Yarrowia lipolytica: one gene and its partners. The protein of the gene in region 1 interacts with the protein of each later gene in a pairwise test. Links are inferred from orthologs where the notes say so. Each region holds a gene or a part of one and is shown in the gene's direction. Other genes may lie near its edges.

Region 1 (3,753 bases):
TTTATTAATAGGGACTAACAGCGAAGGGATACAGAACAGTAGTTACAGCCTAGTAGCTACCAGTTAATGTACTTGTACTTGTACTTGTGCGAGTAATTAATAAATATTGGCACTAGGGCGACTGTCCATCATCAGTCCATGGGCCAGGACTGTAGCCATATGGATACTCATATATGTATCGTATGTACTGGAGACACCGCAAAACAAGCTTGGCTCCCGTCATTACCCTCCCGAACAATGTTACATTTGATTTGGGCAGTTCTTGTGCATTTTGACGGTCGTGTCGCCGCATGTCCGTGTCGGCTGCTGCAAGATATAGATTTTGTGGTGCGTAATTCCTGCTGACCCTCTCTTCCGATCTAGATTGATTCAGGCGGGGATTACTAAGCATTATACCTGGGGAGGGGCTCTCCGTCTTCGGTGTCTTAATATATATCATCTTTGTCACTTGTATGTTCTGTTTGTAAGCTACCAAGGTTATTCTAGGGGGACTGTATTCCTTGCAAGCACTATACTATAGCTACAGTACATACGAGTGAATGTACCAGTGATACTGGCACCAATATGCAGTGTAGAGAGAGTGCACTGTAAGGTGAGTGTGCGTGGAGAGAGCGTGACAAGAGTTAAGGGGGGTTTGTGGGAGCGGCTTTTGGAGGGGAAAAATCGGTTTTTTTGCCCCAATGAAAATGCCCAGATGGCAACCACGGCCAACAGACACAAATAGGGACCCGGCGCCTCCCAGATAACCTCTGAACAGTCATCAAACTGCCCAATACACATTCCAGGCAGTAGTCGGCGGGTTTTGCCTTTTTTGCTCTTGTACCCTAACCCTTCCCAACCTGATTTTTCCCCCTCTCCCACCACCCATCGTCGTTGAGAAACGTAGCCCCTACCACATACAACCACCCTCTCGACCCCGGACATAACACCCCGAGAGCGAGCGGCACCAATCTCCACTAACCAAAGTTTGGCCGGCCCAACAAGCGACACTTACTCCGGCGCCCACGTCACCTGATTAGAGTACTTTATTTCTTGTTTTCTCTGGACACGCTTCAATAAACAAAATCTACCAGACTCTACTTTCTAGCGACCACAAACATCCGCACCCACATTCCAAAATCAACAACTTGTTTCGACACAAGCACAAGCTCCAAATCGCCCCTCACGGACCAAGACATTCCCCCGACCGTCGACCATGTCTTCTAGCAACTCGGTTCCGTCGCTTCTACAGTGAGTATTGTCTGCCGCGACAGGGCAGCTGTCGTGATGCGGTATGAGATGAGGAGGGTGATGAATGACAAAAGGAGATGGATGGTGATGGGTGACAAGGGTGGCAGTTGATGTGATGATGATGGTGATGGTGATGACATGCTGACGATGACATGCTACGCTGTTGAGGTGTCAGTCTCTCGCCGCTGCTATCGTCGTGGCTGTCCACACCCACCATCTCATGACACTTGACTTATGTGACTGCATCATGTGCGATGTGATATTATAGATGTCACCGGCAACGAATGGTCTGGCGTTGCACTTTCCTCCGCGGAGCAGCCGTGGAACCACCCGATGCATCCCCCCCACGCTTTGCTGCTGCATCAAATTGCTCGCACTATTGCTCGCACGATCGCCCATCCCACACATCAACTAATCACACACATACTAACCCAGCGACGTGAGAATTGCAAACAAATTCCAGATCCGGCGAAAAATCGGAAGCGGATCGTTCGGCGACATTTACTTGGGCGTCAACATCATTTCAGGCGAAGAGGTGGCCATCAAGCTGGAAAACATCTTCTCTAAACACCCACAATTAGAGTACGAGGCGCGGGTGTACAAGACTCTGGCCGGCGGCACCGGCATCCCCTTCATCCGATGGTTTGGCTCACAGAATGAGTACAATGCGTTGGTGATGGATCTGCTGGGCCCCTCGCTCGAGGACCTGTTCAACTTTTGCGAGCGACGATTCTCGTACAAGACGGTGGTTCTTCTCGCCGACCAGCTCATCACCCGACTCGAATATCTGCATGCCAAGTCGTTCATCCACCGAGACGTCAAGCCCGATAACTTCCTCATGGGCATCGGCCGCCGAGGCAACCAGGTCAACATTATAGATTTTGGCCTGGCTAAGCGATTCCGAGACCCCCGAACCCATTTGCATATTCCCTACCGTGAGAACAAGAACCTGACGGGCACGGCGCGTTATGCCAGCATCAACACGCATCTGGGCGTGGAGCAGTCGCGTCGAGATGACCTCGAGTCGTTGGCATACGTGCTCATCTACTTTATGCGTGGCCAGCTCCCGTGGCAGGGTCTCAAGGCAGTAACCAAGAAGCAGAAGTACGACCGGATCATGGAGAAGAAGATGACCACCAGCACAGACACGCTCACCAAGGGCCTGCCCAACGAGTTTGCCATTTTCTTGTCATACTCGCGATCGTTGCGATTCGAGGACCGACCAGACTACATTTATCTGCGTCGCCTCATGAAGGACTTCTTCATCCGATCCAACTACCGATACGACTACGTGTTCGACTGGACCGTGTTCCGATACAGAAAGGTCATCAACAGCATGGGAGGCCGAGAGGGAGCCCAGCAGTCGCAGCTCACAGCCGGCCAGGGTCAGGACGAGGACCCCAACAAGCAGCAGCAGCAGCAGCGGGACTCCGCTTCTCCTGCCGCCGCCGGTGCTTCTCAGGGAGCCTCCAACTCGCAGGTGAGTCTGCAACCTCAGCAGGCTCCCCGAGCCGGTGGCGAGGCTCTGGCAGCAGGTGCCCAGGGCCAGGGTGTGCCTCCCCAGCAGGGCATGCGAGCCAAGACTCCATCCCAGCGGCCAGATCTCAAGACCCGAATTGGAGACTGGGACATTCCTCCCCCTTTGCGACTTTTTGACATTGAGAACCAGCAGCTCGATTACTACGACGACAAGAAGGCAGATACCGATCAGTCCGACTGGCGAACACGGCTACGACGGGAGCAGCAGCGCATCCAGGGTAGCCCTACCAGCCAGGGTAACAGCGGCGCTGCCGGCTCAGGCACCGCTCCCGGTGGGCCTCAGCAGGGCGTTCCCCAGCAACAACAGCAGCAGCCACAGCAACCGCTGGGACAGTTTGGACAGCCCGGTGCATCGGCTCCTCCTGGACAAGGTCACGACGACTATGGCGCTACTCCCTGGATCTAGCGGAGTTGGCATGAGTGTGTGACTGAACCAAAATCTAGTAAGTAATAATGTGTCATGAGTTAGAAGGTGACGGCTATGTAATTAAGTGATTATATTTAGCGAAGACGCGGGTGGTAATGTTGTACTCACGGTACCTTTACGAGTATAGTATGTACTTACAACTACGGTTGTACCAACTTGTACTTATTGCTGATGTTCGGATGAAGGGGTGTGTGTGAAGTGTTCGGCTATATGGCTCGGCTCATTGGGAGGACTGTGAAAGTTGATTTTTCAACAAAAGAGAAATCGACACGTTTCAAATAACTTTGGCGTGGAAGGCGTTGGTATGTATGGAACAGAACACACGAGTACCGAGATTTACCAATAATTATTCTGTCATTTTCACGTGATCCAAACGGACTCAGGTCAGGTGTGACATTTGGCGCTCCGGCTACCCCACTTTGGGTGATAATATGCATGCAAGCGGGTTGAGTGTATGTGGATCCATCCTGTGCCAGACGGTGGGATTATGCTGGCTTATATGTGGTATATTTCTGAAGGTTTCCCAGGCTAGAGAGCATTATTTGACATTGATTATT
Region 2 (3,753 bases), on another chromosome or scaffold:
GTTTGTACTGTACGTGAATTAGGTGTGGAGGAAGTTACAGTAAGTGTGTACGTAAGACGTGTTAGTTGGGGTGAGGAGGTCTGAATGTGGGCAGTTGGGTGGCGCTAGACAGGATGATTTTTGGCCCTGAATAATCATCGTGCATCTGCATTCCAATTTCCGCATTACATTCGTCTTGTCGTTACCAAAATATTCCCTATATATAGACCCTCCATTCCCACTCTTGTCGTTGTCACACATTCTCCCACCACTCATTTAGGTTCGGACGTGAATGTCCCACCTGTTACCAACGACCTGGCATTTTCAACATTGAGTTCACTTTGCTTAGGTGGCCTATTCGACACAACAATCAAATGGTGAGTGTGACAAGGCGACGCGATGGGCGATGCTGGCGAACTGGGTTGATTTGATGACACAAACCGATGGCCGACACATGGCTCCGTGTCTCTTGCAAACCGACCAATCGAATCCCTTAGTGTGGGGTTGATCGCCAATATGAAAAGACACGGGGGATGGATTTGATGAGCAACAAAAGACACAGAAGAGATGGTGTGACACAGACGAAAGCAATGTGATTAGGACCTCTGGATGACGTGATCTTTGCGCCAGTGTTGCACTATTGAATCAGCCATTTTATCAACCGACTAGGACAGGTATTCGTGTGCCCGTTACACGGTGTTTAGTACAAACATTGATGTGGCAGTTTGTGACAATGTTACAATTGTGTGACAAGTATACTGATTGTTTCTGTGTCAGCAGCTTGGAGCTGGTACGCTACGCTGTGTTTGTGTCCATGTGCTTTTCGTGGCCTACCTAACATCACGTAACGGTGTCAGCTTGGCGCGCTGTTGTGTCGTGATTGCAACTACAGCTACTTGCTTCCGCTTGGATCCAGGTGGTGTCTTCCACTGCGATGGCAAGTGACACGCATGGTCACGTCGCGCGTCGTCCTCGACCTGCGGCTACTCCCGTTACCCGTTTCCGTTTCGTACTAACCCAGGACTTTGAAGAATTCGAAGAGAAGGACGGAGTGCGATTCTCCTGGAATTGCATTCCCTCTACCCGAATTGAGGCTTCCAGAACCGTCGTTCCCATCTCGGCTCTGTACACTCCTCTGAAGGAGAAGCCCAACCTCCCCGTACTGCAGTATGAGCCCATTGCATGCCGACCCCCCTGTCGAGCTGTGCTCAACTCCTTCTGCCAGGTTGATCTGCGAGCCCGAGCCTGGGTCTGTCCTTTCTGTCTGTCTAGAAACCAGCTGCCTCCTCAGTACCGAGACATTACTCCCGAAAACTTGCCCCACGAGCTGCGACCCGAGTGCACCACTGTTGAGTACGTTCTGTCCCGACCTGCTCCCAACCCCATCTTCCTGTTTGTGGTTGACACCTGTCTGGACGCCGAGAACCTGACTGCTCTCAAGGATCACCTTGTGGCCACTCTTTCTCTGATCCCCGAGAACGCTCTCGTCGGTCTCATCACCTTTGGCGCCATGGCTCAGGTCCACGAGATTGGCTACCGAGAGTGCGGCAAGAGCTTCGTCTTCCGAGGTAACCGAGATTACACTGCGAAGCAGGTGCAGGAACAGCTGGGTCTCAACCAGCCTATTGGTCACCGAGTCCCCCAACAGGGAGGACATCCCCAGGCCCAGGGAGCCGCTGCCCGGTTCCTCCTGCCTCTGCAGAACGCCGAGTTCGCCCTCACCAACGTTCTGGAGGGTCTGCAGAAGGACCCCTGGCCCGTGGCTGCCGACCGACGACCCATCCGATGTACCGGTGTGGCTCTCGGAATTGCTCTCGGCCTGCTGGAGACTTCCTTTCCCAACTGCGGTGCACGAGTCATGCTGTTTGCTGGTGGTGCCCCCACTGAGGGTCCTGGTATGATTGTGGGTCCCGAGCTCAAGGAGCCCATCCGATCTCACCACGAAATTGAAAAGGACACAGCCAAGCACTCCAAGGCTGCCACAAAGTTCTACGAGGGTCTGGCCAAGCGAGCCACCACCCATGGCCAGGCCGTTGACATTTTCGCCGGTTGTTACGACCAGATTGGTATGCACGAGATGCGATCTCTGCCCAACTCCACCGGTGGAGCTCTTGTGCTCTGCGATGCCTTCTCCACATCCATCTTCAAGTCCTCGCTGACCAAGATGTTTGCCCGAGACGCCAACAACTTCCTCCAGATGGGTTTCAACGCCACCTTTGATGTCGTGCCCTCCAAGGAGCTCAAGGTATCTGGTCTGATTGGCCACGCCGTTTCAATGAACAAGAAGAACCCCAGTGTAGCTGACACCGAGATTGGTATTGGCCAGACTTCTTCGTGGAAGATGTGCTCCATCACTCCTGCTCACACCTACGCGACTTTCTTCGAAGTGGCCCAGCAGCAGGGCACTCCTGCAGGCCAGATCCCCCCTGGATACGTGCAGTTCCTGACGCATTACCACCACTCGTCCACTCAGCAACGTCTTCGTGTGACCACTGTTGCCAAGGCTCTTGTGCCCGGTGGCGATCCCCACATTGCCAGCTCCTTTGACCAGGAGGCTGCTGCTGTGCTTATGACTCGAATTGCCATTTTCAAGTCCGAGACCGAGGACGGCAACGACATTATGCGATGGACCGACAAGATGCTGATCCGTCTATGCCAAAAGTTTGCTGACTACAGAAAAGACGACGCGTCTTCGTTCCGACTCGCCCACAACTTCTCGCTGTACCCCCAGTTTATGTTCCATCTACGACGATCGCAGTTCCTGCAGGTGTTCAACAACTCGCCCGATGAGACTGCCTTCTACCGACACTGCCTGAACCGAGAGAATCTCAACAACTCGCTTATCATGATCCAGCCCACCCTGCTGTCGTACTCTCTGGAGCAGGAGCAGCCCGTGCCTGTACTGCTGGATTCGGTGTCCATCAAGCCCGATCACATTCTGCTGCTGGACACCTTTTTCCACATTCTCATTTTCCACGGAGAAACCATTGCCAACTGGCGAAACCAGGGCTACCAAGAAAAGGAGGAGTACGCCAACTTTGCTGAGCTTCTGCAGGCCCCTCGAATGGAGGTCCAGGACTTGCTGGTTGACCGATTCCCTTTGCCTCGATTCATTGACACTGATGCTGGAGGTTCCCAGGCCCGTTTCTTGCTGTCCAAGCTCAATCCCTCCAACACCCACCAGAGCGACAGTGGCTACGGCACTCCTGGCAGCGCCGTGGTGCTTACTGACGATGTGTCTCTGCAGACTTTCATGTCTCATCTTCAGAAGTTGTCTGTGGCTGCCTCCTCTTAGGGTTAAGTAATGTTGTAAGATTAATTTGTATTGTTGGATTGTCGAGCTGGGAGTTATACAGTGGTGTCTTCTATACACTGTATTGTCTCAAGTACACCACTCCCTTGCATGCGACCCCGTATCTGGCGTTAGTGAGACATGGTTGTACGATACAGTGGAATATATGTTCTTTGGAGCTAAAAAGTTTCAAGGAGGCACTGTATGAGCTGTGCGAGTGGGGTGATGATATGATATCGCGATAGCTGTGTAGATGCAATGTAATTACTCCTTGAATTGACTCAATTAAATGTAATAAATAGTATATAGAATGAAGGAATGAAGCATATAAACAAAACCAATCCACATTATAAATATATGTTAGTGCTCTCTCTCTCTCTCTTTCTCGTTCTGTATCTCACTGTTTCCTAATGTCCTTCGAAGTCCGGTGAAGAGTGGTACTCTGGAGACGAAAAGTCGGGAGAGGTATGTGCATAATCATA
Region 3 (3,753 bases), on another chromosome or scaffold:
GACTAAACAAAGTAGGATTACCCAATATCTCGATCTTTTCCTTAGTTAGCGTGTATACGACGTAACCCTACACACAGTGTCGGTACGAGTAACGGTCCGAGTACAGTATGTACATAATGCTACCTGTACTTGCATTGTAGTTGTAGTTTGGTGAAGTATGCACGGTCCAAAAGTAGCTCCAAGTACTTGAAATCTCGATAACGAAATACAGGTGAGAAAGGAGGTGAACACAAATGCCTCAGCTTCGGAGGGGACTAGGCGTGTTTGTCATGGCGACACCGTCGAATTTGGGTTATCGAGTACCGTCAATTTACAGCTCACGATCATTTCATTGTTATTTTCCCTCCCCCACCCCTTTTTTTGTCTTTTGAAAACCGCCTGATATGACCGATAATGATAGTGGCGTTATTTTTTTTTTTTTCTGCATATATATCCAGCAAGAGGGGGGTGCGTCAGTTTAAGTTCTACAGTAGATCTAAACGACAGTATGGGGGAGTAAATACAGAAACGGTGTAAGTTTTTCATACGGGAAGTGTAAGTGGTCTATCAGTAAGAGAATCAACTTAAGCAGATATAATAAACATATCTGGTCTTTGAAATCTCTCAAACAACGTATTGAACACCGCCATTACTCCGACTTTTAGTTCCTCCGGATCCACCCTACACACGTGACATCGTGCGGCTCAACAAACCCAATTCAAAATAATAGTCGTCTGGCATAAGCATTTGGCAACGCTCAGAACAAACTTACCAACTAACCGTCTTTGAAAACACATGCCTGGTGTCTTCCGTTTGGATAGACCAGATGGAGTTACAGGAACTGCAAGAAAACGAGGCGGAGGCTTTGAAGGCCATCTACATGGACGATTTTGTTGACACCACAAAGTCATCTGCATGGAACGTGAGTACTTGTATCCAAGAATGAGGGATGAATAAGTGAACCAGTGACGCTAACATAGAAAACGCCTTCGCCATCATTTGAGATTCACATGCGATCGACCGACCCGGACGCCGAAGATGCCCTATCCAGTTTAACGCTCCAGGTCGAGCTCACGAGTACCTACCCCAAAACGGTCCCTGTTATTCGCATCAAAAACCCCAAAAACATTTTAGCATCACAGGTGGCCAAGTTAGAGAAGTGGATCGCCGCCACCTGCAAGGAGCTCATTGGCGCAGAGATGATCTTCGAGGTCACCTCGTATATCCAGGAGCGACTGGAGGATTTTCAACAGAAGGTGTCCACCGCCAGTCTGGAGGAGGAGCGGCAGATGAAGATCGAGAAGCAACAGGAGCAGCTACGAAAGCAAAAGAGCGACGAGGCCAAAAAGCGGGAACAGGAAAACGCGGAGGAAGACAGAGTGCTAGAGATGATGGTTGTGGAGGAGCTCAAGCGACGCAAACAGCGGGATGATGAAGCGCAAAAGGCGCTTACTGCGGAGCGACAATTGTCAAACGGCGGCCCAGTCATGGCCGATTGCATTGAGTTTGACAGAATAACAACAATCTCGCGAGCAGGACACCCAGCAATCAGTTTCAGAAGAGTAGGAGGACAAATACCCGTGCGAGGGTACTCTTTTGGTAACAATTTTTTGGTGCGGCCCGTGACAGACCCACCAACCGACATATCCCTGCTTCTCACAGAAGTTAGACTTCAGGGCACATACTGGATCCAGGCAGAGGGAAAGAAGATGATTCAACTACTCGAGTCTGACTTGGACAACTTGAGAAAGTTTCGACACGAAAACGTCATCAGTCTCTACGACCACAAGTTCCAACGATGTCCAGATACTTCCGGATGGACGCTATACCTACTTTCCGAATATTCTCCTGGAGGAACTGTGTCTGATCTGCTTGATACCGTGGGTACCGTGAGTCTCAAAGTGACACGAGTATGGGCTATTCAACTACTCGAAGCCCTGGAGGCTATCCACAAGGCTGGATTGGTTCACAAGAGTGTCAATGTGGACACTGTGGTCCTTTTTCGAAACGCAGAAATTGGAGAAACAGTGGTCAAGTTGGGATACACTGTTTTTGGTCAACGTCTTAACGAAATGAATTCGGCGTGCACATTTGATATGACTGCCTCTGTTTCATCGATACAACACGACAGTGATGCTTGGTCACCTCCTGAGCTAGTGCAGCAGAGTGGAAACAAGCAGACGCGTAAGACAGACGTGTGGGCTCTGGGTGTGATGCTTCTTCAGACCTTCATGGGTAAGCAGGTGACGTCAGAGTATTACGGACCTACAGATGTGATCAACAGTCTGGATCTGGGAGATTCCCTGGAAGAGTTCCTTCGAAAAATGTTCATGCCTTCTCCCAAGAAACGTCTTTCTGCATTTGAGCTCTTGCCTTGTGAATTCCTTCGAACTGGTGTCGACTCGCCAGTGAAGTTGGCGTGTGCTTCCAGCAGTGGTGGAAAACGAGGTCGAGGAAGAAGCATGTCTACGGATGGACGACCTCACCGGGATTCCATGAGTGGTCTTTCCATGTCTCGATATGCTCAGGACTTCGAGGAAACGGTTTTGTTAGGACGAGGTGGCTATGGTGTCGTTGTGAAGGCTCGCAACAAGTTGGATGGCCGTTTCTACGCCATCAAGCGAGTTCAACATACAGCAGACAAGTTGACTTCCATTCTAACAGAGGTCATGCTGCTGTCTCGTCTCAATAATCAGTACGTGGTTCGATACTTTGCTGCGTGGTTGGAAGAGTCCTACGACTATCAGGATGAGTCTGCCATCGAGGACTACGATTCAGAGGAGGAGTGGAGCGAAAGTGTTTCTAGAGTTGAAACATCTGTCAGCGCGTTTCCTGCCCGTCTCAACGGCTCATACGACCAAGATACGTTTGACGAGCTCTCCATGAACGCCTCGGTGGACTTCATCTCCAACTCCCTGCATCGAGAGTATCCTGAGATTGAATTCGGAGTCAGTTCAGAGGATGATGAAGACCGCGAGAGTGACGATAGCGACAGCGAAGACGAGACTTCTTCGGGGAGCGTATCAACATCTTCTCCCATCAACAGCAGACACAAAACTACCGTCAAGACTCTCGTTGGAAAGGCTGCTCTGGCTGAGCTGCGTGACTCTCCTCGACACAAGCAAGACAAGTCTCTGGTAAAATCCACCCTATTCATTCAAATGGAATATTGTGAGAAGCACACTTTGGCGGATTTGATCAAGCAGAACCTCTCATCTAAACCTGAAGACTGCTGGCGATTGTTTGGCCAGATTCTTGATGCTCTGAGCCACATTCATTCTCAGGGCATCATCCATCGAGATCTCAAGCCTATGAACATTTTCATTGACTCATCTGGTAATGTCAAGGTCGGAGATTTTGGACTGGCCAAGAATATCCATACTGGAACTTCTCTGGTTGGTGCCGGTGCAGGAACTGGTGGGAGCTCGTCTCAGTACACAGGTGAGGATATGACAGGCGACATCGGTACTACGCTGTACGTCGCCAATGAGGTATTAGCCACAGGCGGGGAGGCCAATTACAACGAGAAAGTTGACATGTACTCTTTGGGTATCATCTTTTTCGAGATGGTGTTCCCCATGAACACTGCGATGGAGCGTGTCTACATTCTTCGAGACTTGCGCAACCCTAAGGTCATCTTCCCTCCAGCGTTTGAGGCTTCTAAGTACAACGAACCTCGTAAGATCATTCGAAGCTTGCTCGACCATGACCCCAGCAAGAGACCTTCTGCCCAACAACTCTTGGCCTCAGGCATTTTGCCGATTCCTAATAAGG

What was found.
Region 2: the proteins of YALI1_F11658g (region 1) and YALI1_E20269g interact in binary tests that used the Saccharomyces cerevisiae proteins (3 or more experiments, as listed by UniProt). The link is inferred for Yarrowia lipolytica from reciprocal best matches to the Saccharomyces cerevisiae genes HRR25 and SEC23.
Region 3: the proteins of YALI1_F11658g (region 1) and YALI1_B19602g interact in binary tests that used the Saccharomyces cerevisiae proteins (3 or more experiments, as listed by UniProt). The link is inferred for Yarrowia lipolytica from reciprocal best matches to the Saccharomyces cerevisiae genes HRR25 and GCN2.

Annotation. Positions count from the first base shown.
Region 1 is NC_090775.1:1,163,745-1,167,497, reverse strand, and holds YALI1_F11658g (uncharacterized protein), read left to right. Parts: upstream 1-1,195; coding exon 1,196-1,230; intron 1,231-1,665; coding exon 1,666-3,175; downstream 3,176-3,753. UniProt on the Saccharomyces cerevisiae protein: Protein kinase which phosphorylates serine and threonine residues. Can use casein as a substrate. Phosphorylates elongator complex member ELP1/IKI3 on 'Ser-1198' and 'Ser-1202' which promotes the tRNA modification function of the complex.
Region 2 is NC_090774.1:2,024,037-2,027,789, reverse strand, and holds YALI1_E20269g (uncharacterized protein), read left to right. Parts: upstream 1-913; coding exon 914-3,274; downstream 3,275-3,753. Other genes in the region: YALI1_E20229g (uncharacterized protein), read right to left, coding at 3,679-3,753. UniProt on the Saccharomyces cerevisiae protein: Component of the coat protein complex II (COPII) which promotes the formation of transport vesicles from the endoplasmic reticulum (ER).
Region 3 is NC_090771.1:1,959,421-1,963,173, forward strand, and holds the start of YALI1_B19602g (uncharacterized protein), read left to right. Parts: upstream 1-805; coding exon 806-901; intron 902-959; coding exon 960-3,753. UniProt on the Saccharomyces cerevisiae protein: Metabolic-stress sensing protein kinase that phosphorylates the alpha subunit of eukaryotic translation initiation factor 2 (eIF-2-alpha/SUI2) on 'Ser-52' in response to low amino acid, carbon, or purine availability.